Linked DNA regions of Rattus norvegicus. The protein of the gene in region 1 binds, or shares a complex with, the protein of each later gene. Links are inferred from orthologs where the notes say so. Each region holds a gene or a part of one and is shown in the gene's direction. Other genes may lie near its edges.

What was found.
Region 2: the proteins of Glb1 (region 1) and Ctsa are in contact, whole or in part, in a cryo-EM structure (PDB 7KDV), measured with the Mus musculus proteins. The link is inferred for Rattus norvegicus from reciprocal best matches to the Homo sapiens genes GLB1 and CTSA. Residues at the interface, in NP_033882.1 of Mus musculus: Tyr198, Asp199, Arg202, His206, Leu229, Thr233, Leu234, Gln235, Asp236, Leu237, Lys258, Phe259, Glu260; in NP_001033581.1 of Mus musculus: Glu29, Asp31, Ala37, Lys38, Gln39, Pro40, Ser41, Phe42, Arg43, Tyr107.

Annotation. Positions count from the first base shown.
Region 1 is NC_086026.1:122,957,905-122,973,377, forward strand, and holds the start of Glb1 (beta-galactosidase precursor), read left to right. Parts: upstream 1-5,813; 5' UTR 5,814-5,889; coding exon 5,890-5,967; intron 5,968-9,201; exon of another isoform or gene 9,202-9,312; coding exon of another isoform or gene 9,313-10,659; exon of another isoform or gene 10,660-13,690; intron 13,691-15,473. Other genes in the region: Tmppe (transmembrane protein with metallophosphoesterase domain), read left to right, coding at 9,313-10,659.
Region 2 is NC_086021.1:173,983,062-173,998,759, forward strand, and holds Ctsa (lysosomal protective protein precursor), read left to right. Parts: upstream 1-5,381; 5' UTR 5,382-5,535; coding exon 5,536-5,589; exon of another isoform or gene 5,590-5,656; intron 5,657-5,760; coding exon 5,761-5,939; intron 5,940-6,052; coding exon 6,053-6,164; intron 6,165-6,427; coding exon 6,428-6,478; intron 6,479-6,566; coding exon 6,567-6,653; intron 6,654-6,877; coding exon 6,878-7,033; intron 7,034-7,321; coding exon 7,322-7,413; intron 7,414-8,083; coding exon 8,084-8,168; intron 8,169-8,643; coding exon 8,644-8,735; intron 8,736-8,838; coding exon 8,839-8,914; intron 8,915-8,995; coding exon 8,996-9,138; intron 9,139-9,673; coding exon 9,674-9,749; intron 9,750-10,307; coding exon 10,308-10,397; intron 10,398-10,529; coding exon 10,530-10,634; intron 10,635-10,823; coding exon 10,824-10,907; 3' UTR 10,908-11,259; downstream 11,260-15,698. Other genes in the region: Spata25 (spermatogenesis-associated protein 25), read right to left, coding at 1-287, 658-712; Neurl2 (neuralized-like protein 2), read right to left, coding at 3,835-4,043, 4,447-5,188; Pltp (phospholipid transfer protein precursor), read right to left, coding at 11,381-11,512, 11,754-11,830, 11,973-12,036, 12,135-12,177. UniProt on the Homo sapiens protein: Protective protein appears to be essential for both the activity of beta-galactosidase and neuraminidase, it associates with these enzymes and exerts a protective function necessary for their stability and activity.

The DNA of each region.
Region 1 (15,473 bases):
GTGAGTCAGGCGACCTGACTGTTGCCAGGTAACTGAGGGGCGGAGCCTAGACAAAATGCTAACAGAAAAATGAATTCAGTGGGCTTTGCCTAGACTTATAGTGGAACCTAATCTTTACTGGATAAGGCTTTATCTTTACTAGATAAGAAAGGCTTGGGCTGGAGAGATGGTTCATCAGTTAAGATCACCGACTGCTCTTCCAGAGATCCTGAGTTCAATTCCCAGCAGCCACATGGTGGCTCACGACCATCTGTAATGAGATCTGATGCCCTCTTCTGGTGTGTGTGAAGACAGCTGCATTGTACTTGCATGTATTGGATAGATGAGTCTTCGGCAGCTCTGAAAAACTTGGACCAGGAAGCAAATCCAGTTCGTAAAGCTTAAAAGCAATCAGAGTGGGGCCAGAGACCTGCTAGGGTCACTCCCAAACAAATGCGGCCAGATTCGTATGAAGCCGATTCCAGGGTCAACAGTGGCTCCACACTGAATTTCAGATTTATTGGCCCTCCTTCTAATGATATACAGAATGCTGGAACTTCAGTCAGTATTGGAGCAAGGTGTACCTTAACTCACAGTACCCACAAAGCACCAGCAGTGGAGGGATGTGGGGGGGAGGACGATACAGATGGTGAAAGCCATGCTTGTCCTAGGGCTGGTCCCTTAGCACCATCTCTCCCTGTACGGTGGATGCAATCCTTCATTACAAGAAACAGGGTCAGGGTGAGTCTCCTGCTGACCATACCCTGCATCCCACCATTACCGAATTTTACCCAATCCTGTGCAGCTCAGGAAATGAGAGCCTGTGAGGAGAGAGCATTCATATCTAGACCAAAGCCCTTGAAAATGTCAGTGTGGTGAACAGAGAGGCCGGCCAGCCACGGCAATGCGGAGCATGGTGAATGGAGAGGGAGAGGCCAGGCAGGCAGCCCATGATGAATGGCTACAGACAGCAGGGAGCTACATAAGGCGGTGGGTGCCCCACCAGAGCCACCTTACCTAGCACTGCCCTTTTGACAGAATCAATGCAGTGGGATCTCTTCATATTGTCTTGGACCTTGCTAGTATATTCTTTTAGAAATCCTTTCATCTACTGAATCCCAAGAACACTCCATACTGGCTTGAACAAAGACAGGGCCTCAGGAGTCTACCCTTAGTTTTAAAAAACAGTCTAGAAAGACATCTAAAAGAAAATAGTTAAAGTTAACAATCAGCCAGCCCAGACGGCACACTCTTTAATCTCAGCACTCGGGAGGCAGGCGGATCTCTGTGAGTTCCAGGCCAACCTGGTGTACATAGTGAGTTTCAGGCCAGCCAGGACTACACAGTGAGACCCTATCTCAAACAAACAAACAAACAAACAAACAGAAGAACAGACAAAGGAGAGTTAAAAATCAGCCAGGCGGTGGCCAGAGAGATGGGTTAGTGGATATATATATATATATATATATATATATATATATAATTTTATATATAAACATATATATAATTTTATATATAAACATATATATAATTTTATATATAAACATATATATATATATATATATATATAAAATTAAAAACAGAGCCAGTAAGATGGTTCATTGGGTAAAGTTCTTGCCAACATACTGACAACCTGGGTTTGATCTCTGTGACCTACACAGTAGAAGAAGAGGACACATTACTCTAAGTTGTCGTCTGACCTTTGAATGTGTGCTTTGGCATGTATGGAACCACACACACACACACACACACACACACACTCAACACACACACAGAGACACGTGCGTGTGCAAATGCAACCATTTTTTCTGTGAGGAAAGGGGGTTGGAGCGACAGCTCAGCAGTTGAAAGTTCTGGCTGCTCTCCCGGAAGACCAAGGTTCTAGTCCCAGGAACTCCATGGAGGTTCTGTAACTCCAGTTCCAGGGGATCTGACACCTTCTCCTGGCCTCTGCAGGCACCAGGCACACACAGACATGCATGCAGGCAAAACACCCATACACATAAAGTAAAATAATTTTTTTTTTTTTTGGTTCTTTTTTTCGGAGCTGGGGACCGAACCCAGGGCCTTGCGTAAAATAATTTTTTTAAAGTAAGAAAGACACTCCCAGAAGCCACAGGGATATAAGGTGAGAACGCCAGTTACGAGGGAGGAGTACTTGGCTGGCTAAGAAGGTCCCTGAGAACCTATAGTAAATGCTATTACCGTTGTTGATGGCTGCACACCAGAACTGGAATGACAAATTGTTATTGCCAGAACACGATACCCTCTGGTTACAGGGCACAGAGACATCAGGGCTGGAGGCTTTCTTCCTGATGGCGGGTGAAGTGGCTATTCCTGGTTGTCAACTTGAATGTATCTGGAATGAACTATAGTCCAGAATTGAAGGGCTCACCTGTGATCCAGATCTTGAGGCTGGAAAACAGTTTCTGACCTGGATCTTAGCATGGAGATCTTGAGGCACAGTGGCCATGAAAACCGTAGGCCACGCCTAAGATAGTACACGCCTTTAATCCCCAGGAGACTAAGGCAAGGAGATCTCTGAGTTCAAGGTCAGTCTGAGATAAAGTAAGTCCCAGATCCAGACACATCTTTAATCTGGGCCACACCTTCTGCTGGAGGCCTGCACAAGGACTTTGGGAGAAGGAAGATTCACTGTTCTCCACTTGCATTTACTCGCCAGCACGTCTGTCGGAGCCTACTTCTACAGAAGACCAGCTGAAACAGCCAGCCTCGTGGGACTTCCCATCCACAGCTGACCACTGTTGGGGAGTTGGACTACAGACTAAGTCATCACATTAAATTCCCTCAAAATAGACATCCCATAAATTCTGTGACTCTGGAGAACCCTGACTAATACAGCTGGGATAAATAATACCACAGCACTGCACAAGCTGCTAAGAATTGTTGCTGTCAGCCCTGTTCCCCTCTGGATCCACATATCCCATTAGCAAATGTGGTGGCTATTCCTGGTTGTCAACTTGACTGTATCTGGAATGAACTATGATCCAGAATTGGAAGGCTCACCCGCAATCCTGATCTTGAGGCTGGGAGATACAAATTTCTGATACCTGGATCTTGGTATGGAGATCTTGAGGCAAAGTGGCTATAAATCCCCCAGGAGCTAAAGGCAAGGAGATCTCTAAGTTCAAGATTAGCCTGGGACAAAGCAAGCCCCAGATCCTGGCATGGTGGTATATACCTTTAATCTGGAACACACCTTCTGCTGGAGACTTACGTAAGGACATTGGAAGAAGTCAGTCAGAGTCTCTCTCTTTTGCCTGCCTGCCTTGTGGGACTGGGCCACCGCTAGATCCCTGGACTACAGACTGTAAGTAATTCCCTTACTATATAGAGACTACCCATAAGATCTGTGACTCTAGAGAACCCTGACTAAGACACCAACATGTGGGCAATAGTCATTCTAGGTTGACATGACATTCTAGGTAGGCATGACAGTTATGGGTACAACCAACTACTTTCTGATTCGACGTAAGCGATGTAAGGCCCACTCCAGAAGTGGAAATTCATGTTTGGTACTGTACATCAGGGCAAAGTCCCGTGGCTGGCTAGTTTTCAGCTGAGGTCCAGGTTAACTCTTTTCTGGTGTGTGGGTGGAGGTTACTGTGGCGACGAATGACCGTGGGAATAGGGAGCTGACGTTTGGGCATAGTGTCCCAGTGCGCAGAACGGAGTCATACTTACATCCCCCCATCAAACATGGCCGATGAGGTGGTAGAAAGACGAAAGACGTTGGGGGAAGGAGTGGAACATTCTGGTGTCACTATTTCCTTTTCGAACGTTTGAAAGACATGGTCACCATCAGGAAGCGGAAGTCGTTGTTGAGGGGACCACACAGTACCTGAGTCTGGCAGCCATAGAACAAAACAAAGCAGCCAGGTAGGTGTAATGGTGACGGTCACATGTCAATGAAAGGGTCACCAGATTGAGAGTGGGCTTGTAGAATGCTGACACTGTAGGAAGTAGAAGGTTGACCTGGGGGGTCAGGACTCAGCGACACGGTCCTTCTCTATGTGTGGGTGGCACTTGCTCCAGGGCAGCTGCTTTTCAGTCACCCAGTAATTAACCCCAGGACACTCAAACCTTGCCAAGCTGGACTTGGATAGAACCTTTTCTTTTCATGGGACAACAGGCTTTCACAGCAACGGCTTTTTTTTTTTTTTTTGGTTCTTTTTTTTCGGAGCTGGGGATCGAACCCAGGGCCTTGCGCTTCCTAGGCAAGCGCTCTACCACTGAGCTAAATCCCCAACCCCAACACAGCAACGGCTTTAATCCTCTGCACCATCTCCCTGGCCCCGAGAAAAACTCATTCTCTCACATTATATCTTGAAGACTGTATTCAACTACTGAAATAGGGTTTGACACCATTGCAGTAGGAGAGAGAGATCTGTCTGGGCCCTAAGCAGAGTATACAATTATGAGCATGTGGACAGTGGTGGGGGGGAGCTCGGGGGCGGGAGAAGTAATGTGTGGAAAATTACTAAGAGACACGATGCCTACAGATGTCTACCTAGAGCGACATGTAGCCCAGGCTACCCTCTTTTTTGTGGCAATCCTCCTGCTTCAGCCTCTGGAGCCTTAATGATTACAAGTGTAAGTTGCCACACGGTGGCCTAGACCACCAAGGACAGAACTAAACGTCATGGACAAAGCAGAGACCCAGGTGAGAAAAAGACAGGAGATCATTTAGAATCTGGTGATAAAATCTGGTGAGGGAGTTAGTCTGGCCGTAACATAATTTAACGACACACACTTTCTATTCATCAAAACAGACTGAGAGTGGACTAGGATGGTCAGAGATGCATAATAAAGGCCCTGTTTTACAGAACTAAGACAGCCACCCAGCCTGTTCCACTCGAGATCCTGCTTTTTACTTAGGATATGTATTTGTATATTATGTCGTGTATATATGTTCCTGTGTGTGTGCACGCGTGTGTGTGTGTGTGTGTGTGTGTTCTGTCCTGTCCTGTCCTGTCCGGTTAGTCAAGGATAAACAGTGAGAAGCAGTCTCAGAAAAACAGAAAAGAAAGGGGTATGGCCCAATGGTAGAGTATTCGCCTAGATTAATGAGGACCTGAGACTCACACGGAGCACGGCAAAGATAAGTGAAATAAATAAATACAACGAGACAATGTCTAAAATAAATAAATATTGTTATTGGTTGCAATTCACTAACGCTGGAAAAAAACTTACCTATATTTAAACCAACCTCGACTTAAGCAGAGGTGGTGGCCCATGACTATAATTCAGCGTCCAGAAGGCAGTAGGCAGGAAGAACAAGAAGTTGACTGACAGAAGTGCCATTACTCTCATTAAAATTCAGGGCAGTTTAAAATAACTTGGCCATAGCTCAGTCACAGTTGGAATTTCTCTATAACCTAACACAGTGCTTCTCTAACTTTGCTTGCACTGAAACTTGGAGCTGGGTTCAGGGCTGGGATGCTGAGTCTGCATTTCCAGGTTTAAGTCGCCTGGCCGGTGGACCTCACCTTGTGTTAGACCACGTGCTAGGGAGAGTTTTAGGGGCTAGGACTACTCCCCGGAGCACTGAGGACTGGCTGTTTTCCTTTTCCCTGCTCAGTTCGTTTTTGGCAGCCAGGACAGCCTGAAGGCCCCTGTGGCTGGCCAGCCCCTGAGCTTCACCACAGTTCATTCTGAAGATCCGCCCTTCCGGGGGGACTCGCGGATGCTTAGACCACAGCGGCTCCGGAGTCACGTGGCCTGCAGAGGCTGGACCTTCGCTCCCAGCCTAGAGCCTCGGGGTGGGGCGGAGCTGGGGGCGGGTCCTCCTGGGCGGGTCCTGGCAAAGGGTCCTCAGTAACCCCCGGAGGTGGAGCGGCTGGCCAGAGCGCCCACTGCAGAGTGGAGCGGTCCCATCGCGGCGCCGTCATGTTCCGGGTCCCCCTGTGTATGCTGCTCCCGCTCCTGGCGCTCCTGCAGTTGCTGGGCGCTGCGCACAGTTTCTATGTAAGTCTCCGGTGCCACCGCGCGGGGACGCTCCGCCGCTGGGAAGCGGGCAGAGGCCGAGGAAAGCCGCGGCTCTGCAAAGTGGGGATCGGGGTTACCCTCCATCTCCCCTCGGAGCACGCAGGCTGCCGAGGCGCAGGCAGTGGCCGGGCCTCCCGTAGGGGCGGGCCGGACGGGCGGGGCGCGCGTCCTTCCTGGTTGCTGGCGCGCGTGGGTTCCGCTGCGGCTGTCCCCTGCGGACCGACCTGCTTCCCGGTTTGCGCATCGCGGTCGGGGGCTAGCTGAGGTGCGCCTGAGTCTTTCCAGCTTCGGTTTCTGGGGAGAGGGGCTCCAGGCTGGTGGCTGCGAGAGGGCTCCGCGGGCAGTGACGTGGGACGCGATCCTTGCAGAGTTCGGGCTTCACAGAGCGCTCCGGAAGGAGAAAAATGGGGTCAGGAGAGGCTCCTGCAGTGGGGTCACCGGAACATTTGCTTTCCGAGACTTCTCCCTTTTCAAGCGTACTGTTCACGTTTCTCGCTAAGCCACCTGCTGGCAGCTTTTAGTTTGAGGTGTGCATCGCCTTGTTGGAAGCCTTTTCCTCTTAGGGTTTGGCAGTGCGGGTCGAGGGTGGAAAGAGGCAAACTGCAGCGGGCGAGGTCTGGGTGGCAGGGCAGTGGCTGAGGCGCGTGGGACACGCACCTGGGGAGGCCCGCACGGAACCTGCGAATAGGACAGGGCGTGGTGGAACGCGGCTCCTACTCTTTTGCACTTTGAGCGAGTCAGCTTGAGGCCCCCGATGGACTGAGTGGGGGGGGGGGCGGTAAGTTCAAGTACCTGCTAGTAGACTTTGAGCCTGGTAGACGTGTAAAAACTACACTCTTGGAAATGATACACGTTTATCTGAAACCAGAGTTGAAACTTTTTGAAGTTTCTGGAAAAACAGTTGCTGAAAATGCTTTCATTTAAGGAAAAGGAAAATCGAGTGCAGCCGGCTTCATCAGAGCTTGACGTCCTGAGTACCAGTGGGCAGAGGTTCCAACAGGTAGGGTAGAGAGGGCAGAAAGGAACCCATAAATCTTCAGTGTCAGGATGAGCAGAAGTGATAAGGTTTTATGGAGGTCACCGGTTTGATGTTAGTCATCAGATAAGAAGTAGGAGGTGCCCTGGGAGAGCGCCACCCAGAGAGGCTGCTGCATGATCCTCGGGAAATCTTAGATGGATCTCTCTCCTGAGCATTTAGATTAGAGCCAACGAAAAATTCCAGTCGACTAGCTTTCTGTTATCCTTGTTTGTTTGCAACATTAACTCTCAAACTTCAGAGCTAGATTAAAAATTAAAATGTGTCTGTTTTTTTTTTTTTCTTCTGCTTTTGTTTTTTGTTTTTTTTTTTTTTTTTCAGAGCTGGGGACCGAACCCAGGGCCTTGAGCTTGCTAGGCAAGCGCTCTACCACTGAGCTAAATCCCCAACCCCCTGCTTTTGCTTTCTCAAGACAGGCTTTCTCTTTGAAGCTCTGGTCGAACTGGGACTCACTCCGTAGAGCAGCCTGGCCTGGAAGTCAGAGATCCTCCTGCCTTAAGAAGTAGTAAACCAATTGGACATTAACAAGCAGTACACTTATATGAAGAAGGGTCTCTCAGTTTTTGGCTAGAACTGTAGTTACTTTAAGAGAAGGGCCGATTGATTTTTTTTTTTAAGTTTTATTTACTTTTATGCATATGAGTACACTGACATTGTCTTCAGACACACCGGAAGAGGGCATCAGATCTTATTACAGATGGTTGTGAGCCACCATGTGGTTGCTGGGACTTGAACTCAGGACCTTGGGAAGAGCAGTCAGTGCTCTTAACCGCTGAGCCATCTCTCCAGCCTGAGAAGACCTATTCTTTGCTTTTTAATGACAGGCTCTCACGAAGTCTGGGCTGGCCTCAAACTTGCTATTATGTAGTCGGACATAGCCTTGGACTTCTGACGAGCCTGCCTTCACCTCTCGCATGCTGGGAGTACCGGCATGCACCACCGTGCCCTGTTTCTGTGGTGATGAGGGTGGAACCCGGGCTTTGTTCATGCTAGGCGCCCTACAAACTGAGCTATGTCCCCAGGCGTAGAAATCAGAGTCTTACATTGCTGTTTTCGGTCTGCAGTCAACTCAGGTTTTGGTGTCTTTGAAAAACTGTATTATGCACTCACTGGAAGTGTGAAAATGTTTCACATGTTATGTTTCCATGTAAGGACATTCGCAGTGATGCTTTGCCATTGTCACGACTCCCGTGTGAGACTTCCCCCAGGTGACACGCTAACAGCGGATCATTTGAAATAGTAATTTTCCTATTAAAAAACAGAATGGGCCGGAGAGATGGTTCAGAGGTTAAGAGCGCTGTCTGCTCCTCCAGAGGTCCTGGGTTCAATTCCCAGCAACCACATGGTGGCTCGCAGCCATCTATAATGAGATCTGGTGCCCTCTTCTGGCCTGCAGGATACACGCAGGCAGAGTGTTGTAGGCACACGAATAAATCTTTAAAAAGAAATAAAGAAAACAGCCTGGGGAGGTGGGGCAGCTGGCCCACGCTTTTAATCCCAGCACTCAGAGAAGCAGAGGCAGGGGGATCTCTGTGAGTTGGAGGCCAGTCTGGTCTATAGAGCAAGTTCTAGGACAGCCAGGGCTACACAGAGAAACTCTGCATATATATATATATATATATATATATATATATATATATATATATATATATATATAGAGAGAGAGAGAGAGAGAGAGAGAGAGAGAGAGAGAGAGAGAGAATGTTTCATGTCCATTCATTGTGGGGACCCTTTAACCGGCTGAAACACTAAGACAACAGTGGAAACTGAAGCAGGAGATGTGGTTTGGTTGGTAGAACGCCTGCCTAGCATGCATGGAACCTAGGGGCCCATCCTCACATAGAGCTGCATGGTAAAGCCTGGAATCCCAGCACCTGTTTGGTGAAGGCAGGAGGGTTGGAAGTTCAGGGTATCCTTGGTCACACTGTGAATCCAAGGCCAGCTTGGACTACCCGAGACCTGTCACAAAAGGAAAAGAAAACCGCCCTCGTGTTTCACGTCATGATTGCGGTGTGTTTCAATAAGGAAGCCTGGTGGCTCACTGGTGTTTGAGTGGCTTGGATTTGAGGCAGGTTGGAGCCATGTCTGTGGCCTGTGGTCTTTGGGCTTTGGTCGAGTGGGGACAAGAATGCTCTGATGGTCTATCCCATAAAGCTGATGCCAGTTCCTGGTTGCAGGCGGAGCTGACCTGGAAGTCTCTCACTGGCCACAGTCCTTTCTCAGGAAGTTACTTGCCTCCCAGAGTCTTCCAGCACTGAGCTTTGGGGGACTCCTCAGGCGCTGGGAGAATGGCGCTCTTCAGGCAGCTGTCCCTGGGCTCCAAGGCTGCCCTGGCTGCAGCCACAGTCTTCGTGTCCATGATCCTCTCCCGCTCCTTCCTGGCGGAGGCCCTTGAGCTCCAGGCCTGGCGCTGGCTGTTCCGTCTGCAGCTGGCCCTGTTCGTGAACTCGATTCTGCTCATTGGTTCCTCGTACATCTGGCGGAGTACAGTGAGCAACCTCAGCCATCCCCCTGCTGTGGAGTCTACCTGTTTCCAGCTTTGGAAGCTGGTTGTCATGACATTTCTGGCCCTGGCACATTCCAGCTTCTTTACCATGCTCTTCTTGGTGGCTGAGGAACCCTACCTGTTTTCCTTAGCAGCCTACTCCTGCCTGGGCGCCTACATCATCATGGTATTCTTCCTCTGCATCTTGAATGCCATGGAGCAGGCCTACCAGTTCTTAGCCTGGCGCAGTGGTAGGGTGGTGGGCAGCCCTAACAAGACAAGGCACCTGGTGCTCAGGCCTGCGCTGGCGGTGGCCGTGACGGCTGTGCTCAGTACCATTGGCCTCCTGAATGCTGCCCAACCCCCGTTGGTGAAAACCGTGGAGGTGCCCATCCACCAGCTGCCCCCTTCGATGAATAACCTCAAGATCGCCCTCCTTTCGGACATTCACTTGGGGCCCACGGTGGGCAGGACCAAGATGGAGATGTTTGTGAGGATGGTGAACAGGCTAGAGCCAGATATCACGGTGATCGTGGGCGACCTCTCCGATTCAGAAGCCTCTATCCTGCGGACGGCGGTCGCTCCTTTGGGTCAGCTCCGTTCCCGTCTCGGCAACTACTTCGTCACGGGTAATCACGAGTACTATACGTCGGACGTCAGCAACTGGTTCACACTGCTGGAATCCTTGCACGTCCGGCCCCTACATAATGAGAATGTCAAGATTTCTTCTGCCTCGGGGGACCCGGACAGTGGAGGGGGAGAGAGAGAATGGGTCTGTTTGGCAGGTGTGGATGACATAGAAGCAGACATCCTTCACTACTCTGGGCACGGCATGGACCTTGACAAGGCTCTGGAAGGCTGCAGCCCAGAACATGCCACCATCTTACTGGCTCATCAGCCTCTGGCTGCCAAGAGAGCCCTCCAGGCTCGGCCAGATATAAACTTGATCCTTTCCGGGCACACTCATGCAGGGCAGATCTTCCCCTGGAATGTTGCGGCCTATCTCCTGAACCCTTTCTTTGCTGGACTTTACCAAGTAGGCAAGGCTACGTTCGTGTACGTTAGCCCGGGTACAGCCTACTATGGGATACCCATGAGGTTGGGGAGCAGGGCAGAAATCACAGAACTCATACTGTGGCGGGCTTCGTAAGCCTGCCCGATGGTCCTGCCTTGCCTTGCCCCGCCCTGGCCTATGACCTTTGTCCATCTCCTATACCATCCTAACCTTGCCAGCCCCCTTTGGGCACAGCCTGCTGGGGAACATCGATTTGCAGTGAGGCTGCCTGGAAAATTCAGGCTGGCTCAACTCTTTAGATAATGAACCACTTTTGACCGTACACCTGGGGGTCCACTCCGCCCCATATGCTGGAGTGGGCATTTGTTTTCCAGCTGCCGTGGAGATGGGGGTCCTTTTGCAGAGTGTGGGGTGGCGGGGAAGGGCACTTCTTGACCAAACTCAGGGAGGGGCAGGAACACTTGTCTCCTGTGGGTTTAGCTATGGTTAGGGTGGGCTCTGGAATCATTTGATAGTTGGTTTGGGCATGGGCCGTGTTGAGAGGCTAGTATCCCTTTCCTCCATGTCAATGAAGGTCACCTTTATTGAGGACATCGGCAAACCCCATTGAATCATGGGGCACTTCTTGTCTGCACCTTGAGGGGTCCTGATTACTGTGCAGAGTAGTTGGACCAGAATGGCTAGAAAAACGAGTCATGGGGACTGTGGTAGGGGACGACTGCGGTCCCTTAGGGACTTAGCAGTTCTGAGTCCCTGGTTCTTTGTAGTTTTTGGGTGAGATAATTAAGGACAGGCTGCTTCTGTGTTTGGGGGTGAGGAAGGACACTGGATGTGATGAGGTATCTTTAAAACACCACAGTGACAAATACTTTCCTAGGAGGTGCTCAACGACAGGTTCCAACTCAGTGTGTGAAGGGAGTTCATTCTGCAGCCCGATGGTTTGATGTTTTTAGAGGTTACAGCGGATGCGGGATTCTGTGTGCAGATAAACAAGACCCTAGAGTCTCACGTTCCCCTCAAAGGGCCTTGCTTGTTTGAGGCACTTTGTTTGTTCGAACGAGGCAGGTTCAGTTCACTCACAGCTAGATGAGGGGGTCCCTCTAAGAGTCTCTCACTGCAGGAGGCCATCTTTAATAATCATTGAGGTCAGCACCTCCTACCCATCAGGCCAGGTTTGGGTCTGAGATTTTGGTGAGAAGCTGAGGTTTCTCGTCTACCCATAGGAAAGTTGAAGCTGCCCCAGGTCTGACCCAGCTCTGCCCTTGCAGGTTGCCCTAGGCCCTGGAAAGGCAGGGTCTGTCTTACCTGCTTGGGGGAATTCTAACCCTACCTTGGCCTCTGGTCACAGAAGCTTAGGGTCATTCGCAGGGCTTCTAGACCCACAAGAAACAAAGCGCTCTCTTGTGCAGTGTCTGTCGTTGGTCTAGTCTTTCTTTGCCAGGGGCAAGAGAGACATTGCCCTTTGCAGAGCCGAGAGCTAGCTGGGCTTAGGAAGAGGCTCTACTGAGATGTGTTTAAGAACATCTGGGAGGCTGAGAGTCCTCTGTCTGGAATGGGGCTTCCTGCTGCTTGTGAGAGAGGGTTGAGACCTGACAGTGGCAAGTCCTCCTAGATTCTTAGCTTCCGTCATCCCAGAAATGGCCGTACTTCTTGTATCTACCTCAAGGCTGCTGTGCTGAGAGAACGCTGAGCCCGTACCCACGGTGGGCACACACTGTAATGTTTGTTAATCAGTGCACCGAGACCTGCCAGGGAGCATTGCCAAGCAAAAGTGCCTAGAGAGCCAACCTGGGGGACTGTCGATGGCTGGCCTGCTGCCCTCCAGCACAGCCCAGATGTACATGTGATACTAAGAGCCACCTTCCTGGCAAGTGTCTCGAGTTTCCTATGCACACTCTGCTTCCGTAAATGGAGGATTCTTCACCTTTTTGTCTTTCTGGTGTGATGCTGTCTAGTGGGTCCAGGAGGTTACTGACTCATTCTTGTCTCCCATCCCAGTATTGGCAGGGCGCCATCTGGTCCCCGAATGAATGAATGAATGAATGAATGAATGAATGAAGCAAACATACCTGTAATTCCCAGCACTCAGTAGATAGAGACAGGAAAATTGGGAGTTCAAAGCTCGTAGTGAGTTTGCAACCATCCTGGGTTACATGAGATCCTGTCTTGGGGGGTGAGGGGTGGGGGGGGAGGAGAGAAAGAAATAGCTTTGCCTAGATACTGTGATGGTCTCATTTCCCACCCACCCCAGAGAGGATTTCAACGCACTGGGCTAATCTGTAGTTGGGATTCTAGGAGAAGCCACAACTCAGCACCTTGTCCCCCGAGACCTCCTCTCGCACCTGCCACCCCTCCAACCTCACGAAGGCCTTTAATCCATGTCCTCCATTTCTGCTGTCAACCCTCTTGGGGTCACGACTGCCCTTTCTGTTCTCCTCAGCTTTGGATTTCAGCAGACTGAGTCAATGCCTTCTCAGTCCAATCCTCTAGGCTACTGGTAGCCTTTGACTCCTGCCATTCCTATTCTTCCTCGTTTTCTGGTTCTTTCTCTTCGGGGCATTAGACCCATCCTGGTCTCGTTTTTGATACGGTCGTCTTGTGACCTGTGTGCACATCTGCTGTTCTGGCTTTCGGGTGTTTTGTTTTTTGGTTTTTGTTTTTGTTTTGTTTTGTTTTGAAGCAAGGTCTTGCTTTGTACACCAGATGGCCTTCAACTTGCAGTTATCCTCCTGCCTCTGCCTCCCAAGAGCTGGATGCCAGCATGCGTCACCACAGCTGGCTCCTTTCGTCCTCTCTGAACTCTGCTTTGCCAAATGCTTTTCTATTAGCAGACCGGGGTTGGGTTGCCACTTGGTTGAGAGAGAACTTGCCTTGCAAGTGTGAGGCTCTGGGTTCGATCTGGGGACGTCAGAGAAAGGAAAAAACAGTGGTGAGGGACAGTCGGGTGGCTCAGCAGGCCGCCTCACAAGCCTCCCTTCAGCTCCATCTCTGAAACCCATGGTGGAAGGAGAGAACTCCACAGAGCTGTTCTCCGACCTCCCCCCATGGATTCCGTGCCACACCTCTGCACAGCGCATAATGCTTATATAAATAAAATTGTCTAACGAGATGGTACTGCCTGTTCTTCTGAAGGTCTTCTATCCTAATAAAGGAAAGAGCGATGCCGTGTTTGTGTCAGGTCCTCTCTTCTCGATCTCTCTTACACTGCTTTACCTTCAGCCTTCAGGGCGTGCGTGTTAGCACGCAGTGTTCACCACGTTTCCTCCTTGACAGCTCTTTCAGTCTCAGGGCCCCACCCTAGGGACTGCGGGTGTGCACTGCCAGGCCCACCCTCTTCAGGTCACTTTTATTTCTGTGGTTCAGTTGCACTGCACCCCCTTTCCCTTCTGAACTGAGCTGTTGTGTAAAGGTCCATCCGTTGTGTTTTTATAGCCAAATGTCTATTTTTTTTTTTTTTTTTGGTTCTTTTTTTCGGAGCTGGGGACCGAACCCAGGGCCTTGCGCTTCCTAGGTAAGCGCTCTACCACTGAGCTAAATCCCCAGCCCCGCCAAATGTCTATTTTGCTTACTCTTGCGCTGTTTTCTTCTGCTCCCTGTTCCAGTAGTCTCTCTCTTCTCTTCTCTTTTTTGTGTTTGGAGACAGGGTCTCTGTATGTAGCCCTGGCTAGCCTGGAGCTCACTACATAGACCAGGCTGGCCTAAAAGTCCAGATCTGTCTGCCTCCCCGTGCTCAGTTCTTTATTTTCTTGAGGAAATGTCTCTTTACAGTTTGATCTTCATATGAGTCAAAGCCTGAAAAGTTCCGTGTGTCTCTCGGATCACTTCTCTTTAATTCTGTGACATTCCTCTTACTCATGTAAACATGGACACACCCAAAAAAGTTAAGGGAGCTGGAGAGATGGCTCAGCCGTTAAGAGCACTGACTGCTCTTACAGAGGTCCTGAGCTCAATTCCCAGCAACCGCATGGTGGCTCACAACCATCTGTCATGGGAACTGATGCCCTCTTCTGGTGTGTCTGAAGACGGTGACAGTGTACCCACATACATTAAAAAAAAAGTTAAGGGGCTGGGGATTTAGCTCAGTGGTAGAGCGCTTACCTAGGAAGCGCAAGGCCCTGGGTTCGGTCCCCAGCTCCAAAAAAAAAAAAAAAAAAAAAAAAATAAAAAAAAATAAAAAAAATAAAAAAAAAGTTAAGCAAAAATAATTGAGGACATCTTTATTTAAGGTATATTTTGAAAGAGGGGTGTGTGTGTGTGTGTGTGTGTGTGTGTGTGTGTGTGTGGTACTAATATGGAGGTCAGAGGACAGGTCCTCTTCTTCCTGTGGGTCTCTGGGATCAAACTCATATTCTGCCAAGCACCTTTACTCAGCTTTTAAAAAAAATTTTTTTTTTTTTGGTTCTTTTTTTCAGAGCTGGGGACCGAACCCAGGGCCTTGCGCTTCCTAGGGAAGCTCTCTACCCTGAGCTAAATCCCCAACCCCTAGCTTTTAAAATTTTTAATCGTGCGTGCGTGTGTGCATGTGTGTGTGCGTGCGTGCACGTGTGTGCCCATGGGTGCAGAGGCCAGGGGTTGCAGGCTGTTATGGGTACCTGACACTGAGCAACCAAGTTTTGTTCCATCTCCAGCTGCCGATTTTTATTTTTAAAACTATGCATTTGTCTTTTTTTTTTTTTCTCCCTGAGATACAGGGACAAAATTAAGCTGATCACTGTCCTGGAGGGCAGAGTGTGCCCATCCCTCTCCTATCCTCCGGTTTCTGTTCCCCCACCTCCCTGTGGCAGTGTCCTCTCTTTAGCTTGGCGTTTCAGAGGTGAGAAAATGTTCTTGACACAAGACACATGAGCAAGATGGCTGAGCATGGGTGTGTGGTACCCACAGATCTGCCCCGGGGGCATCATCATGGAGAACCTCAATTGCTTTGCTTCACCAGCCTGTTGGAAATGAAG
Region 2 (15,698 bases), on another chromosome or scaffold:
AGCTCTGCTTCTGGAGCAGGGGTCTGCCCAGCCCAAGCTCTCCAGCTGCCTCACAGGGGGCAATTTGGGGCAGTATCGGTTGTGTTCCTTTCTCCGAGGTGTCTCCCAGCTAACACCCCCAGGGCAGCCCCTGGCTTCAGGCACTGCCAAGGTGGGACCCCAGGCCTGGGCAGCAGGTGCCACCTGCTCAGCTTTCTGGCTCAGTGGGCCTAATCCACCAGGTGCCACCAGCACTGGCTCTGCAGGACTATAGAGGCCAAGGGACGAACCCGAAGAAGCAGCCCCACCTGCAGAGACAAGAATGAAATGGAATGTTATTCTTGGTCTCTTGGAGGAAGAGGCCCTGAGGGGCAGGGCCTGGGACCAGAGGCAATCGGAACAAGCCCAAGAGGACAGTCTGAGGCTGGGAATGTAAGCAATTACTCATCTCCATAACTCCAGCCAGTCCTGATACTGCAGGTGCTGGGGAAGTGTTTAAGTGAGCGGGTGCATAATTAGCAATTGGCAAGGCCTTTTGGATATAATTTCCAGAGGATTGATTCCAGGGTCAGCCTAAAAGCTTTCAGGAGAAGCTCCACTTCCCCCAAAGCCAGGAAGCAACTTCACGTGGGAAGCTCTGTTGTCTCCCCAACCCCCAGTTTCAGGAACCCCTCTCACCTTGGCCAGAAGGCAGAAGACCCAGATGAGTTTGTGGAGAGGTGAAGTAGGACATGGCTGCCCCAGAGTCCCTGTTTGTGAGGGAATAGTCCTATTCCTCCTGCCCTCGTCTCCAGTTTTCTACAGTGTCACCTCATAGTCGCCTTTACACCCGGACCCTACCTCACAATACTAACCTGTTCATTATGGAACGTACATGTCACAATGGGAAGGGATTAAATGGGCACTGGCCCTGGATCAGGAAGTTCCAGCTTTTGTCAGTATCTTGGTCAGCATCCACCTGGACAGGTAGTTTTTTGTCTTGCATTTCTCTGGTGCTGGGGCTAGAACCCGGGACTTTGCCGGTCTGAGGAGCGAACTACTTCAGAACGACATTCTCACTGTGCGTGTTTTGTTTTTTGTTGTGCCAGGGTTTGTTTGATTGCTTGGTTTTGTTTGTTGAGACAGGATCAAACTACTTAGCCCCGGCTGACCCGGAAAGCCCTGTGGTCTACTTCCTGTTCCAGACCTGTCTCCTACTTGCTGGGCTTACAAGTCAGGAACCACCATGCCCAGCCTGTGTTTGCTTTTGTGTGGCTGGCCTCAAACCCCTGATCTTCCTGTCTCAGCTTTCTAGGTGTTGGGAATATAGGTGTGGTGTCACCACACCTTGCTCCACCTAGACAGTTTTGTTCCTCAGTATCTTCATCTGCAAAATGGGAGCGACATTGCCCCCTGACTCCCCAGGAGTTGTGATGGTGAGGTGAGATGCCCGAGGCGGCCAGCAACCACCCATACAGAGAAATGAGTCCAGGGCTTTTGTGTCTTGTGTCAAGGTAGTGAATCACTTGCTACCACAGAAACCAAGCGTGGGACACAGGCCTGCAACCCAGCACTCATGTGGTAGAGGCAGGAGGATCAGAAATGCAAGCTCACCCACCATTTTATATGAAGCAAGTCTGAGGGCAAACCGGGGTACAGGTGACCCTGGGTTTTGTTTGTTTGCTTTTGTTAGTTTTTTAAATCACCTGCTGGAGCCAGGCATGGTGGCTCTCACACCTTTAATGGCAGTGCTTGGGAGGCAGAGGCAGGCGGATCTCTTGAATCTGAGGCCAGCCTGATCTACAGGCTGAATTCCCTATCTTCAAGTAAATAAAATAAAATATTCATTTGCTATTTGTTTTTAGACAAATATATTCTCATCTTTTGGCCTCTGAAAAAATGTTTGGTCCAGGTCACTGGTGGTCAGCACAGGCTCTAGGACATTTCGAATAACATTAGGGCCCCTCTCCATCTTAGATCAGCTAATAGAATCCCAGGGGCAGACTTATGTGTCAATATTTCTAACTTCTTAAAGACATTATAGTCAGGCCTGATGCAACAGGCAGAATCCAGCTGCCTGGGAAGCCGAGGCAGAAGGGCCCCAGGTTTAAGGCCAGTGCAAGCAACTTAAACTTTGTCCTAAAGGATAAACAACAAGAGGGCTGGCAGCTGGACAAGGTGGCGAACACCTTAATCCCAGGATTCAGGAGGTAGGGACAGGCAGATCTTTGTGAGTGACATGCCAGCCAGGGCTACATATTGAGACCCTGTCCTTAAAGGGGAGGGGGTTGGGGATAGGCCAGGGCCTGTGGTTTGGTGGTACAACGCTCGCCTTGCAAACACAGGGCACTAAACTCAGTCCCTAGTACTGTAAAAGGCAGAAGGAAGCCAGAAATAGTAGACTATGCCTGTAATCTCCTGTTGAGATCAAATTACCACAGTTCAGGATCATCCTGTGTCTCAAACCAAAAACAAAACAATGAAAAATTACCATCTTTTTCCAAGCTGCAACCCCTGATCTAGGACATGCTTCTCCACTCTGACCATGCATTAGAATCTCTGAAGGGGCTTTTACAAAAAAAAAAAAAAAAAACAGTGTCAAGTCAGCCATGGAGGCTCACGCCTATAATCTCAGAATACGGTTGGCAAGACCTTGTCTAGAACAAAACAAAAATCCATGATGACTGGGCTCAATTCCCTGACAAACCGCACACCAAAGGAGAATATTGAGGGGAGGAGGTAAGGACAGAGAGGGAGAGCGGGAGGGGGAGTGGGAGAGGAGGAAGAGGGGAGAGGGGGGAGGGAGAGAGAGGCAGGCACATTGGCACTCATCAAGTGTCCCAGATAATTCAAAGGAGTGTGCGCACTAGGAGGCCCTGATCTAGACAGGTTCTAAAATACTTTCTCTGACAGGGCATCTCTACATGCGCCTCTCATAAGGCTGCAGAGGCAAGGAGACCCTCCAATGCTCAGAACTCCAACATAAATAAGCTCTCTTTATTTCTGGCCCTGATTGTGTGCCGCCGTGTGACCAGCTTCAGACCAGCCACTGCTCTGGCGGCAGGACGCACGACGGCCGCTTTGCTCTGGTGGCCACAGACAGGCCTTCATTCATACTTGCAGAAATCCTTCAGTCCTGTGGGCAGGCGCAGCCCATCAATGGCCAGCCTGTGTACCACACTCCTCTGGATCACAAGACGGCACAGTGTCTGCAGAGACGGCACTGTGGAGAGATGACTGTCAAAGGCAAAGGGGTCTGGGGGAGGTAACACTGGAACTGAGATCTACGTCTGGGTTTTCATTTGCCGTCAACTTGGGAATTACCTTCTGCTCTCAGGCTCGGCCTGCCTGGCGGGGCTGCTTGTATAGCTGACATAGCACCTCTTTCCGAGGACTTTGATCAGACCCTCTGCCATTATAACACAGCCTAACCCTCCTCCCTTAACCCAGCAGCTTTGTCTGTTCCGTCTATGCAACCACAGCACGGTAACAGCAGATTCCAGCTCAACGGATTCATGACACATGACCAGAGATATAGGTGAAAGGTCCATTGAGCTACAGTGAGCCAGACCTCTGATTTTAAAAGTTGTCCATCTGAGTTTCAGGAGAGCCAAGGCTACTCAGAGAAACCCTGTCTCAAAAAGAAAAAAAAAAAAAAGTTCTCAATCTGGAGTTTGCGATGGCTCCAAACCCATAGGCCTAAATCTCAGAAGAATATTTTCCTAATAAAAACACACAACTCATAGCGGAATGTGGTGACTCAAGGCTAATCCCAACCCTCTTCAGGCTGAGGCAGAAAGGATTGTCAAAAGTAGGAAGCTGGCCTGGGCTACTTACTGAATTCCAGAGGAGCCTTGTCTCCCGAGTGAATTGTTCTCAGAAGACCAAAAGTAAATGCGTCAAGTTCTCAAGAAGTCTCGGATCAAAAATTGGTTTTGGCTGGGGCTGGAGAGATGGCTCAGAGGTTAAGAGCACTGACTGCTCTTCCAGAGGTCCTGAGTTCAATTCCCAGCAACCACATGGTGGCTCACAATCAGGTCTGGTGCCCTCTTCTGGCCTGCAGGTGCATACATGCAGGCAGAAAGCTGTATGATGTATACATAATAAATAAATAAATGTTTTAAAAAAATTTAAAAAATTGGTTTTGGAATCCCTATCAAGCTGGGGTGTGCAGTGCCTGCCTAGTACCGATGAGACCCTGACTTGGTTGCTAGGACAAAATTTAAAAAACACAGACGCCCTTACCCTATTATTGAAACATCATTCAAACCAAAAGAACCTGCAGGGTGTCTCAGTCAACCAGCTGAGGTGAGGACACCAAGGCCGGCCCACAGCCAAGGTGTGATGTGTGCAAACTCACAAGCCCGAGGTGAGGCCAAAACTACGGCTGGACAGTCCAAGGCCCTGCTAGCTGGCTGTGGGGGTCCTAGCCGGTGCCTGTCTCCACCCTGAACCAGAAGAAGGTCCCTCCCGGGGTGGGATACCTACAGCCATACTCCAGTTGGACCAGGCGCACACTCTTGGTGGAGGCAAACACATCTACCACAGCGTAGAGGGGCTGAGCAGCTGGCAGTCCCCGGGCGCTGGGACCCATGTCCTCTCCGTTGATGATGATGTGCATGTCAGCGGTCCCATCCTCACGGGGGCAGAAGAGAACACCCAGGCGGCTACGGCGCGCAGTGGGAGGCAGCACGTTTTGTTCATAGAGCTGATCTAAGAGGTGACTATAAAGCCCTGGGCGGCTGCGGCCCACCAGACGGTCCCGGGGAATTCGGAACTGCTGGATGCGCAAATAGGGTTCGACGAGTAGGGTTTGGGGACCGCTGGGGACCGCTGCCTCTGCTTCTGTTTGACCTTCCCGGGGCACACGGTTGTGGTGGCGCGTGATAGCGAAGACCCAGCTGTGGCCAAGGCTGACCAAGTCAGGCAGTGAAAACTCGGGTACAGAAGCCAGACTGGCCGGGTCCAGAGCGGTCAGGCCAAGACGTAGATGCCCGCACCAGCCCAGCTCTTTTTCCTCTATCTCCACTAGAAATACCTGACCGGGGGCCAGGGGCTCGCGACTGAAGCACACACCGTGGGCGAAACTCTCCACGCGTGTGGCTCGCGTCCCCGACGGGTCCATCCGGATGTTGGCTCCGTGCACTTGGTGGAAGCGGGTGGGAGGGGGCTCCGGGCACGCAGGGCTCCGTGGTCCACCCAATCCTACAGGTTTGGAGGGAGCAGCCATCTCCACGCCATTAAGCAGGCCAGCTCATGCCAAGGGCTATTTTGGGCGGCGGGCTCAGATGGTGACTGCGGGGGGACCATGTAAGGCATTTCCCCCTTGTCTAACTTTCCCCGGCTCTGCCCGGGGGTCCTAGCGCCGTTTCTCGGCATATCACCAGTAAGGGGTCCCCACGAGCCTGAGGAACTTTGCTGTCAACACCAAAATCATCTGATTTCTGGCACCCTGACTGTGCACTTTGGGCTGTGCACTTTGACCTGGTAATTGACCGCCCCCGACCCTCAGATAAAAAAAGTGAACGCTGAGCAAGCTGTCACGTGCTGCAGAAGCTCACGTGACCAGAACTACACATGACTTCCAGTCCAAAGGCGGCTCCAGGAGAGCAAGGACACAAGGAAGCAGAGGTACGGAGATGCCCGGACTGGTGGGCAGCGATCGTGTCTCTGTGGCCGGGAGTTGGACCGGGGTGGGGCCTTCCCCCGGAGATGTGCGCCATCTCCCCAGGAACCGCAGCACCGAAGCGCAAAGGATCTGGGGAACTGGTAAACATCCTCCACCGATGCTTCCTTCCGCAGATGCCCCGAGCAGCACTGTCTCCACTGCTCCTGCTGCTGCTCCTATCCTGGGCGTCCCGGGACGAAGCAGCTCCGGACCAGGATGAAATCGATTGCCTCCCGGGCCTGGCCAAGCAGCCCTCTTTCCGGCAGTACTCCGGCTATCTCAAAGCATCGGATTCCAAGCACTTCCACTACTGGTGATCCGCCCTAGCTCCCCAGGAGGGCATGATAACTGGGCAGACGAATTCTAACGACCCCTGGCAGGACTGGGCCTCTTACTTGTACCAATCCCGCCCTGTGCCTTTCCTAGGTTTGTGGAATCGCAGAACGACCCTAAGAACAGCCCCGTGGTGCTTTGGCTCAATGGGGGTCCTGGCTGCAGCTCCCTAGATGGGTTACTTACAGAGCACGGTCCCTTCCTGGTGAGTTGACCACTGCCCCTCTCCCCTGTGAGGGAGAACTGGGAAGAGGCAGCTCCTCAAGGAAAAGGCAGGAAAGGGGAGGGGAGAAGGAAACTGTGTCCTAAGTTTGCTTTCCTTCTTAACAATTCTGTTTTGTTTTATCTGACCCTTGGCCTAACTTTCTGTACCTCTGTTGGAGTGTGACAATATATAAAGCACGGTGGCCCTTTCTCTCCACCCAGCTATTCACTGGGACTCACAGGGGCTATTTCTTTCCTCCCCAGATCCAGCCAGATGGTGTCACCCTGGAGTACAACCCCTATTCTTGGAACCTGGTACGCTTGGAGCTGTGGGTCTTGTAAGGGTGTCTGGGTACTCGAAGGGGTGTGGAACCCTCTTCCACTCATTCCCTCCTCCCCCTAGATTGCCAACATGCTGTATATCGAGTCCCCAGCTGGGGTGGGCTTCTCCTACTCGGATGACAAGATGTATGTGACCAATGACACAGAGGTGAGTCTGTTGCCTGACCACCTGCCCCATTCCCCATTTCTCCCCAAGATGGCTTGATTGGGGGAGAGCATGACCTCAGAGTCCACTTTTGGCCCTGTCACGTGCTCTGTGGTAAGCTCATAACCAATTTACTTCCTCTTGCACAAAATAAAATGAGTTGGACTCCTTATCTCTGCGCAGCTTTCTAGCTTAAATGTCACCTGACTCCTCCATGTCATCCTCAGGTGGCTGAGAACAATTATCAAGCCCTTAAAGACTTCTACCACCTCTTTCCGGAGTACAAGGACAACAAACTTTTCCTGACCGGAGAGAGCTATGCTGGCATCTACATCCCCACCTTGGCTGTACTGGTCATGCAGGATCCCAGCATGAACCTTCAGGTGAAGGGAGGCACCATGATGGTGTGACCTAGGATTAGAAAGGTCAGCTTAGCCGCTCGTTCACAGCCTACTAACTGGCCACTGGCTACTCCAACAGCTCGAATGCCTCCTACTACAGGAAGCTAACCTGTCAGGCTGCCACTTCTGTTCTCTAGACTGAATGACCTCACCCACACCCACAAGCCACTCTGGATTTCAGCTTCTAGATTGCAGGTCTGAGTGTAGGTCAAGGGAGGGTCCCCTTGCTCTCGCCCTTGGGATGAGCTGAGCCCTCTGGGTGTTTCACAGGGGCTGGCTGTGGGCAATGGACTCTCCTCCTATGAGCAGAATGACAACTCCCTGGTCTACTTTGCCTACTACCATGGTCTTCTGGGGAACAGGTAATGGGAGAGGGACAGTTGGGCAACGTCTAAGGTGGGGCAGGTCATGCCATCTCAGACCTGTCCTTCAGCCCATGCTATTCCTGCTTTGGTTTATAAGCAGGTAGGGGCTGGAGTTGGCCAAAGGGTTTGATGGCCAAGAATAAAGACTAGGATTTAAAGAAACTAAAAGGGGCTGGAGAGATGGCTCAGTGGTTATGAGCACTGACTGCTCTTCCAGAGGTCCTGAGTTCAAATCCCAGCAACCACATGGTGGCTCACAACCATCTGTAATGGGATCTGATGTCCTCTTCTGGTGTGTCTGAAGACAGCAACAGTGTACTTATAAGAAATAACTAAAGAAGCTAGACATGGTGACCACACTTGGAACCAGGCAGAAGAATCATGACTTTTAGGCCAGCCTGTGCTACATAGTAAGTTTAAGATTGAGCCCAGGCTACATAGAAAAACCTCTCAAAAACATTTTTTTTCTTCTTTTTAAAAAGGCGCCAGTTTTGGGGTGAGCTTGGGGCTACTTTTATGGACTAGGGGACAAATCCTTGGAAATTAGGTTTGGTAGCCTACACGTCTTTCCTCTCCGCCACCAGAGTCAGGGTCTGATGGGAGCGGGGAGGGAGGTTATTGTATCTCCTAGCATCTCTGCTCAGCCTCAGCTCTCTCTGATCCGCAGGCTTTGGACTTCACTCCAGACCCACTGCTGTTCTCAGAACAAGTGTAACTTCTATGACAACAAAGATCCAGATTGTGTAAACAATGTGAGCCTCTGCCCTGGTCTTTGTGCCAGCCCTTCCACCCCAGTCCCGAGAAATGGATCACACAAACCTCTCTTTGGGAACCTAGCTCTCTAGCTCCGTGGCTTCCCTTTGTGGCCGTTCTGGGGATTGAACATGGGAGCATGCATGGGGAGCCTCATGCATGCAAGACAAGCACTCTGCCGACTCACCCCCTCGGCTTTCTGTCCCAAATCTATCCAATACTGTGGTCTCCTCTGGGAAGTCCAGGGAGGAAACTGAAGCCAAGGATGCTTAAGCCACTTGGCAGAGAGTAGAGTTAGGACTGGGCCCAGATCTGGAAGATTCCTTCCAATGAGCCTTCTACCTGTGAAAAAAGTAGGTAAAGGGCGGTGTCGGGAGGGAGATGAGGTAGGTAGGAGATCACTTAATCCTGAGGGTGAGTAGGGAAGGTCCTGAAGGGATATGGATCTGAATAACAGGACTACCGTCTTCACAGCTCCAGGAAGTGTCTCGAATTGTGGGCAAATCTGGCCTCAACATATACAATCTCTACGCCCCGTGTGCTGGTGGGGTACCCGGCCGTGATAGGTAAGTGCTGCTGGGTGTGCCTTGGACCATATCTACTGCCTCTAGAGGCCCAGCACCCATCCTATAATTTTTCTTCGTCTGTCTGTCTGTCTATCTCCGACAGGTCTGAGGACACACTTGTAGTCCAGGATTTTGGCAATATCTTCACTCGCTTGCCACTCAAGAGGAGATTTCCTGAGGTATGCAAGGGTGTGGGCTCTCCCTGGGGGAGTAGGTGGGTTAAATAATTAAGGACGGTCACCCCATGTCCATGCCCTCAGGCTCTACTGCTTCGGTCTGGGGACAAGGTACGCTTGGATCCTCCATGCACCAACACCACAGCCCCCTCCACCTACCTCAACAACCCATATGTTCGGAAGGCTCTCCACATCCCGGAGTCGCTGCCCCGCTGGGACATGTGCAAGTGAGCTTCTGTGACTGCTCGTGGTGTAGGAGGTGGCCATCAGCTGGGTTCGCAGGGGTCCTGTTACTAGGGCTTCTCCAAGAGGGGGTGGTGTGGACATTTAGATGAAAATTGGGGTGAAAATTAGTTGATAACTAGTTATCTCTGACATTTAATGAGTAGACACTGTCCTGACTACAGCTCTGTTGCCACCTGGAGCTGCCCAGTTCATCCTTGAGCCCCTTTAAATAAAAAGGTCACCCTAGCTCATCGGAGCCCAGTTAAATGTTTCGTGATGGGCTGGTGCCCTTTCTCCGTTCCCGTCATTACAGTCACACCCGACGGTGCCTACACACCAAACACCAGTTGTATCTCAATCATTGTAACAGCCGAAAACTATGCCCACACATCGCCAGCTCCCGTTCAGATAAGCAAGTCCTAGAGAACTGATATACCGAAGCTGGGAATCGGGAATGTCTGACTGTCCTGTCGACTGTCCTGCTCAGTTCCCCGTTTTGTCCTTTTTCCCTGCATCCTACGCGCATGCTTCCGACAGCCTCATGGTGAACTTACAGTACCGCCGTCTCTACGAAAGCATGAACTCCCAGTACCTGAAGTTGCTCAGCTCACAGGTAAACGTCCACGGCACAGCAGGACCCACCCACCTCCAGCCGGTGTAGCTGTAGGCTCTAGAGTAACAATGCATCGAGTGGGGCATCTCGGTAGCGCTTGCAGCCACGCCCTGGTTGTTTTATGTTATTGTTATTCTGAGACTTGTCTTGCTCTGTAGCCCAGGCTGGCTTTGAACTCATAACAATCTTATCTCGATGTATGCCTACCTACGTCTGGCTCTGGGAAGAGTTCCTAGCTATGGTTTTCCCTCTGTAAAAGGAGGCTAATGAGCGAGCCACAATGAGTCTTCAGAGTAAGCTCAGCCCTGGGGAGATGGAGAGACCTTAGGTCTAAGCCAGTCTGGGCTCCACAATAAGACTGTCTTATATGGGGCATAGTAACTTCCCCCCTATTTATTAAAGCATCTGGTAGGTGCATATTGGACGTGTAGCATACAGCATGAGAATTTCAGGTTTCTGTTCTTAGTTGGGCTTCTGAATCCCTGGGGCTTGAACCAGAGAAGGGCTAGAGAGCCTGGGCCTAGCCCACACTCCTGTTTTCCCATTGTCCTACTCCAGAAATACCAGATCCTGCTTTACAATGGCGATGTGGACATGGCCTGCAACTTCATGGGGGATGAGTGGTTTGTGGATTCCCTCAACCAGAAGGTAAAGTGCTGTTGGGGTAGCTGGGCTGGTGTGCTGGGAGAGGGCGAACCTGGAGAGGAGTCTCCAGTCTCAAAAGCAGCTTTGAGCAAAGATGGTGGGAGCCACTGGCTATCGTCTTTCCCGGTGGGATAGATGGAGGTGCAGCGCCGGCCCTGGCTAGTGGACTACGGGGAGAGTGGAGAGCAGGTAGCTGGCTTTGTGAAGGAATGCTCACACATTACCTTCCTCACCATCAAGGTAGGACTCTGAGGGACAGCTGGGGCCAGAGGGGGGAGTGGCATGACCTCCCAGTCCTCACTCATTCTGGGTCACCTGTGATTCGTCGGGCGAGCGTGTGGGGTGAAGAGAGGAAGGGGTGAAGGAAGTGCCCGGAAGTGAGGGGTAATCATGTTGGGGATCCAAATCTCATCAAGCTTTGCCCTCCAGGGTGCCGGACACATGGTCCCCACGGACAAGCCTCGAGCTGCTTTTACCATGTTCTCTCGATTCCTGAACAAGGAGCCTTACTGATAGCTTCGAGGACCCATGGAAGTCCTCAGCACCTGATCAGACCCTCAAAGCCTCTCTCGATGTCGAGGACTCCTCCTTTATGCAAAGTGCTCCCGTGGGGCAAGTCCTGCTTTAAAAATGCCCAGGCTTCCTACAGCCCTGTGCATCCCAGCCTGGGCCTTGGGGCTTCACAGACAGTCTGGGACCAAATGAACACTTTGTTCTGGCTTTGATAGGATGGCTTTCCCTGGTCTGCATAAAAAATGCCCCATCCCAGGACCCCAACAGAGCTCTAGAGAAGCCCAAGGAGAGGGTTGGATGGATTGTAATTGATGGTTGACTGATTATGGAATTAAATCGGGTATAGCTTCCAGCTGGGCTCTTCTCTGTGGCACTGGGACCACTAGGCTGATGGCAAGGGGTGGGCAGGAGGTGCTGAGAAGCCTCAGTTCAGTTCCTGAATGCCAGCTGCCCAGGAGGGGCGGGCGAAGGGCTCAGGCAGCTGCAGCAGAGGGTGGAGGGACACTGGAGTCCACAGTGTCAGCGCCGCCGGCAGAACGGTTCTTGTCAATCACTTCTCGAAGTCCTTTGGCAAAGTGGAGGTCAGCCCCAACAGTGACGAAGCCCTGGGAGGGGACAGGGAGGCTCACTGATCAGTTCAGTTTGGAGACATCGTCCAAACAAACGCAGGACTCTGGAGCAAATCTCCTCAGGGGCCCCAGCTCCCTGACAGTGTAAGTCCTTTACTACTTAAAAAAAAAGGAGGGAGTAGCTAGTGTTAGGGGGTTTAGAGGAAGCAGATAGCACTGGGGTGTTGTAGGGACAGGAAGCCCCTGGTCTACATCCTCCTTTCCACAATGTACTTACTGCATGGTTGGTCACCACCTCATGCACGAAGTTGATACCCTCAGGGAGGGGGATCTGCACCCCACGCCAGATACGCTCTGTAGATGGAAGAGGCAAGCTCAGCCTGGGCGTCTATCAGTCCGTCGGCGTCATCGTGTCCACTACCCCATAACCCCCCACACACCCTTCCACCCCTGTTATTCCCTGTCCCCACTCCTTCCTCCCACCCTCAGCCCCTACCATTCAACAAAGGCATCACTCCGATTTGCAGCAGCGTCTTCAGTGGGGCCTGCAGTGGGATCAGCTGAGGGAAAAGGGACACAGACAGCGCATGCACATACAGGTTTGTGTGAGCGGCCCTCTTGCAAAACCTGGACCCACCCAATGCCATCCCCAACTCACTGCCAGAGACTCCAGCGCAGACTGATTGGAGTAAATTTGAAACCTGTGGGACAGAAATGCAACATGAAACCTTGGGACACCCTTTCCTTGAGCCCTACGTAAAAGTTGGCCCAGAGTGACAGCTTTCCCAGTCCCACCCAATCATCCTTCCAGGTAGCTGCCATTTTCCAGGTGTGCATCCCTGAGTGACCCTCTTGTCTCTGGAGCCCCTTTCTTTAAGCCTGCTGATTTTCATTAGTTAGGAATGCCTGTGTGCCATGCCTCTGTGGCTAGGTCAACAAGTACAGTTTGTTTTATCCAACAAAATTCAATAATCTTTACTCCCTGTCAGATACCAAGCTTATTAAAAAAAAAAAATCAAAATAGCACTGGTAAAATGGCTCAGTTTGGAGGGTAACTGGCCTGACTACCTAAGTTTGATCCCTAGGGCACACATGGTAGAGGAGAGAACCATGTTGACTTTTGACCATCATGTGCTCTGTGTGACATGTGAGTACCCTGACACATAAATGCATATACACCTAGACGCACACATACACAAGTTAATTTCTTTGAGTTTGAGCTCAGCCCGGTCTACAGAGTGAGATTTTTGTCTCAGAGGGGGTTTGAAGAGGGACACAGTATTGAAGAAATGGCTCCACAGGTCAAGAGGGTTGGCTGCTCCTCCAGACAATTGGAATCCAGTTCCCACGTCTGGTAGCTCGCATGGCTTCTAACTCTAGCTTCAGGACATCTGCAGCCCATTTCTGACCTCTTCAGGCTCTATCCATGCATGGCACACACACATAACACACCACACATACACACACCATACATACACACCACATACAAACACACCACACAGACCATACATACACACACACCATACATACATACCACATACATACTCACCACATACAAACACACCACACACACCATACATACACACCACACACCATACATACACATTCCACACACACCATACATACACATTCCACACACACCATACATACATACCACATACATACATACCACATACAAACACACCACACAGACCATACATACACACCATACACCATACATACACACCACACACACACCATACATACACATTCCACACACACACCACATACAAACACACCACAGACCATACATACACACCACACACCATACATACACACCACACACACACACAACATACATACACACCCCACACACACACCATACATACACACCACACAGACTATACATAACACACACACACACACATCAAACAGGGGATAGGAGGAAGATGGTTTAGCAACTAAGCACTCATATTCCTCCAGGGGACCATCACCTATGACACACAACCTACGACAACATGAAACTCTAGCTCCAGAAGGCACTACTTCTGGCCTCTGAGCATCTGCACTCACACGCACATAACCACATACAAACCTGAGAGCTGCCGTGGTGGCACATACCTTTAACCCCAACATCCTGCCTTTAACCTCTGCACTCAGGAGGTAGAGACAGGCAGATCTCTGTGAGTTCCAGGCTAGCCTGGTCTGCATAATAAGATCCTGTCTCATTAAAAAAAAAAAAAAAAAAAAAAAGCAGGAAGTGTCGTCTCATGCCTTCAATTCCAGCACCCAGGAGACAGGCAGGTGGACCTCTCAGTTTGAGGCCTGCCTGGTCTACAGAGTGGGTTCCAGGACAGCTGGGGCTACACGGAGAAACCTTAGCTTAAAAAACAACAAAATAAAACAAAAGAACAAAAAGCAAAGAAAAAGGGGAAGCTGAAATGCTGAGGACATCAAGCATGTACAAAACCTTGGCTCCATTCCCAGGGCCATATAAATATACACTGTGAGTGTGCGTGCGTGTGCATGTGCGTGTGTGTGTGTGTACCTATGTGTGCGCGCCTGCACAAAAGGTACACTGTGGGAGGAGGGGGAGTAAATTTGGGCATATGGAGGATGGGTCACACCATCCAACCATGTTTTGAAACAGAATCTCTTACTGGTCCAAGGCTCCAGCGTTTGGCTAAGCTGACTGGGGAGTGAGCCCCAGGGACCTTGTCTCCTTCCCAGTGCTGGAATCCCAAGCCATAGTCTCTACGCTCAGTTTTTAAAATGGGTTTTAGGGCTCAAACTCATACCCTCATCCCTAAATTCATTCAAATCAGCTAACTTTCTAGTCCTTGGGTTTTTTTGTTTGTTTGTTTGTTTTGTTTTGTTTTGTTTTGTTTTGGAGTTAATGGTGTTTGCTTGAAACAGTGTCTTGCTACGCCTAGTGACTGAGACCTGAGAATCTGGGACTATTAGAAACTGTTACTGATGAGGGAAACAGAAGCTGGTTAAGTAAATAGCCTGAAGTGACATGGCTGTGTGGACTAGACCCTGCCTCTAGCTTCCCAGCTGCAACCCAGCTTTGTCTCACTTTGAAGCAGCTTCTGTATCTACACTGTCTACTGTGTAGCCACTAGTTAACCCTGGCTTCTGCAGCCTAACCTAACTGCTGTTGACTTATAATTACACAAATGTAGCCAGTCGCATATGACCCGGGTGATGACATTAAATACCCAGCCCTAGAAAGTACGAGGTAATTTCACCTGTATTTAGCACAGGAGGAAATGAACCTTAGAAAGATACAATGACTTGCGTTCAGGTTCCCGCTGAGCTGAGCTGAGATTGACACTCAAACCGATGTCTCCATCTTCTCGGCTACATGAGTGTGTCATTCACCCTCACTGAAACCATTTGCTTGCCTCTAAGAATACCTGCTTTGCCTGCTTCTAGAAGGTGAGAGAATGCAAAGGAGTTGCTTAAGAAACCACTGTTAGAAAAAAAAAAAAAAGAAACCACTGTTAGGGGCTGGAGAGATGACTCAGTGGTTTTAAGAGCACTGATTGCTCTTCCAGAGGTCCTGAGTTCAATTCCCAGCAACCATATGGTGGCTCACAACCATCTGTAATATACATTAGATAAATAAAAATTAAAAAAAAAAAGTTTAAAAAAAAAAGAAACCGGGGTTGGGGATTTAGCTCAGTGGTAAAGCGCTTGCCTAGCAAGAGCAAGGCCCTGGGTTCGGTCCCCAGCTCCGAAAAAAAAAAAAAGAAACCACTGTTAGCCAGGAGCAGTGACACAGGCCTGTAATCCCAGCTCTAAAGAGGCAGATCTTCCCTGAGTTTGAGTTTGAGGACAGCCTGGTCCATATATCCAATGCTAGTCTACCCAGTGGTGCTACACAGTGAGACATTGTCGTAAAAGAAAACTAGAGGGGTTGGGGATTTAGTTCAGTGGTAGAGCGCTTGCCTAGCAAGCGCAAGGCCCTGGGTTCGGTCCCCAGCTCCGAAAAAAAAAAAGAAAGAAAGAAAGAAAAAGAAAACTAGAGATAAAAGCACTTAGGGAGCTGGGAGTTGTAGTTCCGTTGGTATAGTGTGGGCAGGCACTAAGCCCTGGGTGCAGCCCCGGAGCACTGTATACACAGGACATGGCAGTGTGTGCCTGCAATCCCAGCATCCCGGAGATGCAGGCGGGAGCGTCTTTGGCTACACAGTAAGATAGATTTTGGATGTGTAGGTGCAGGTGTGTGTACCTGGCA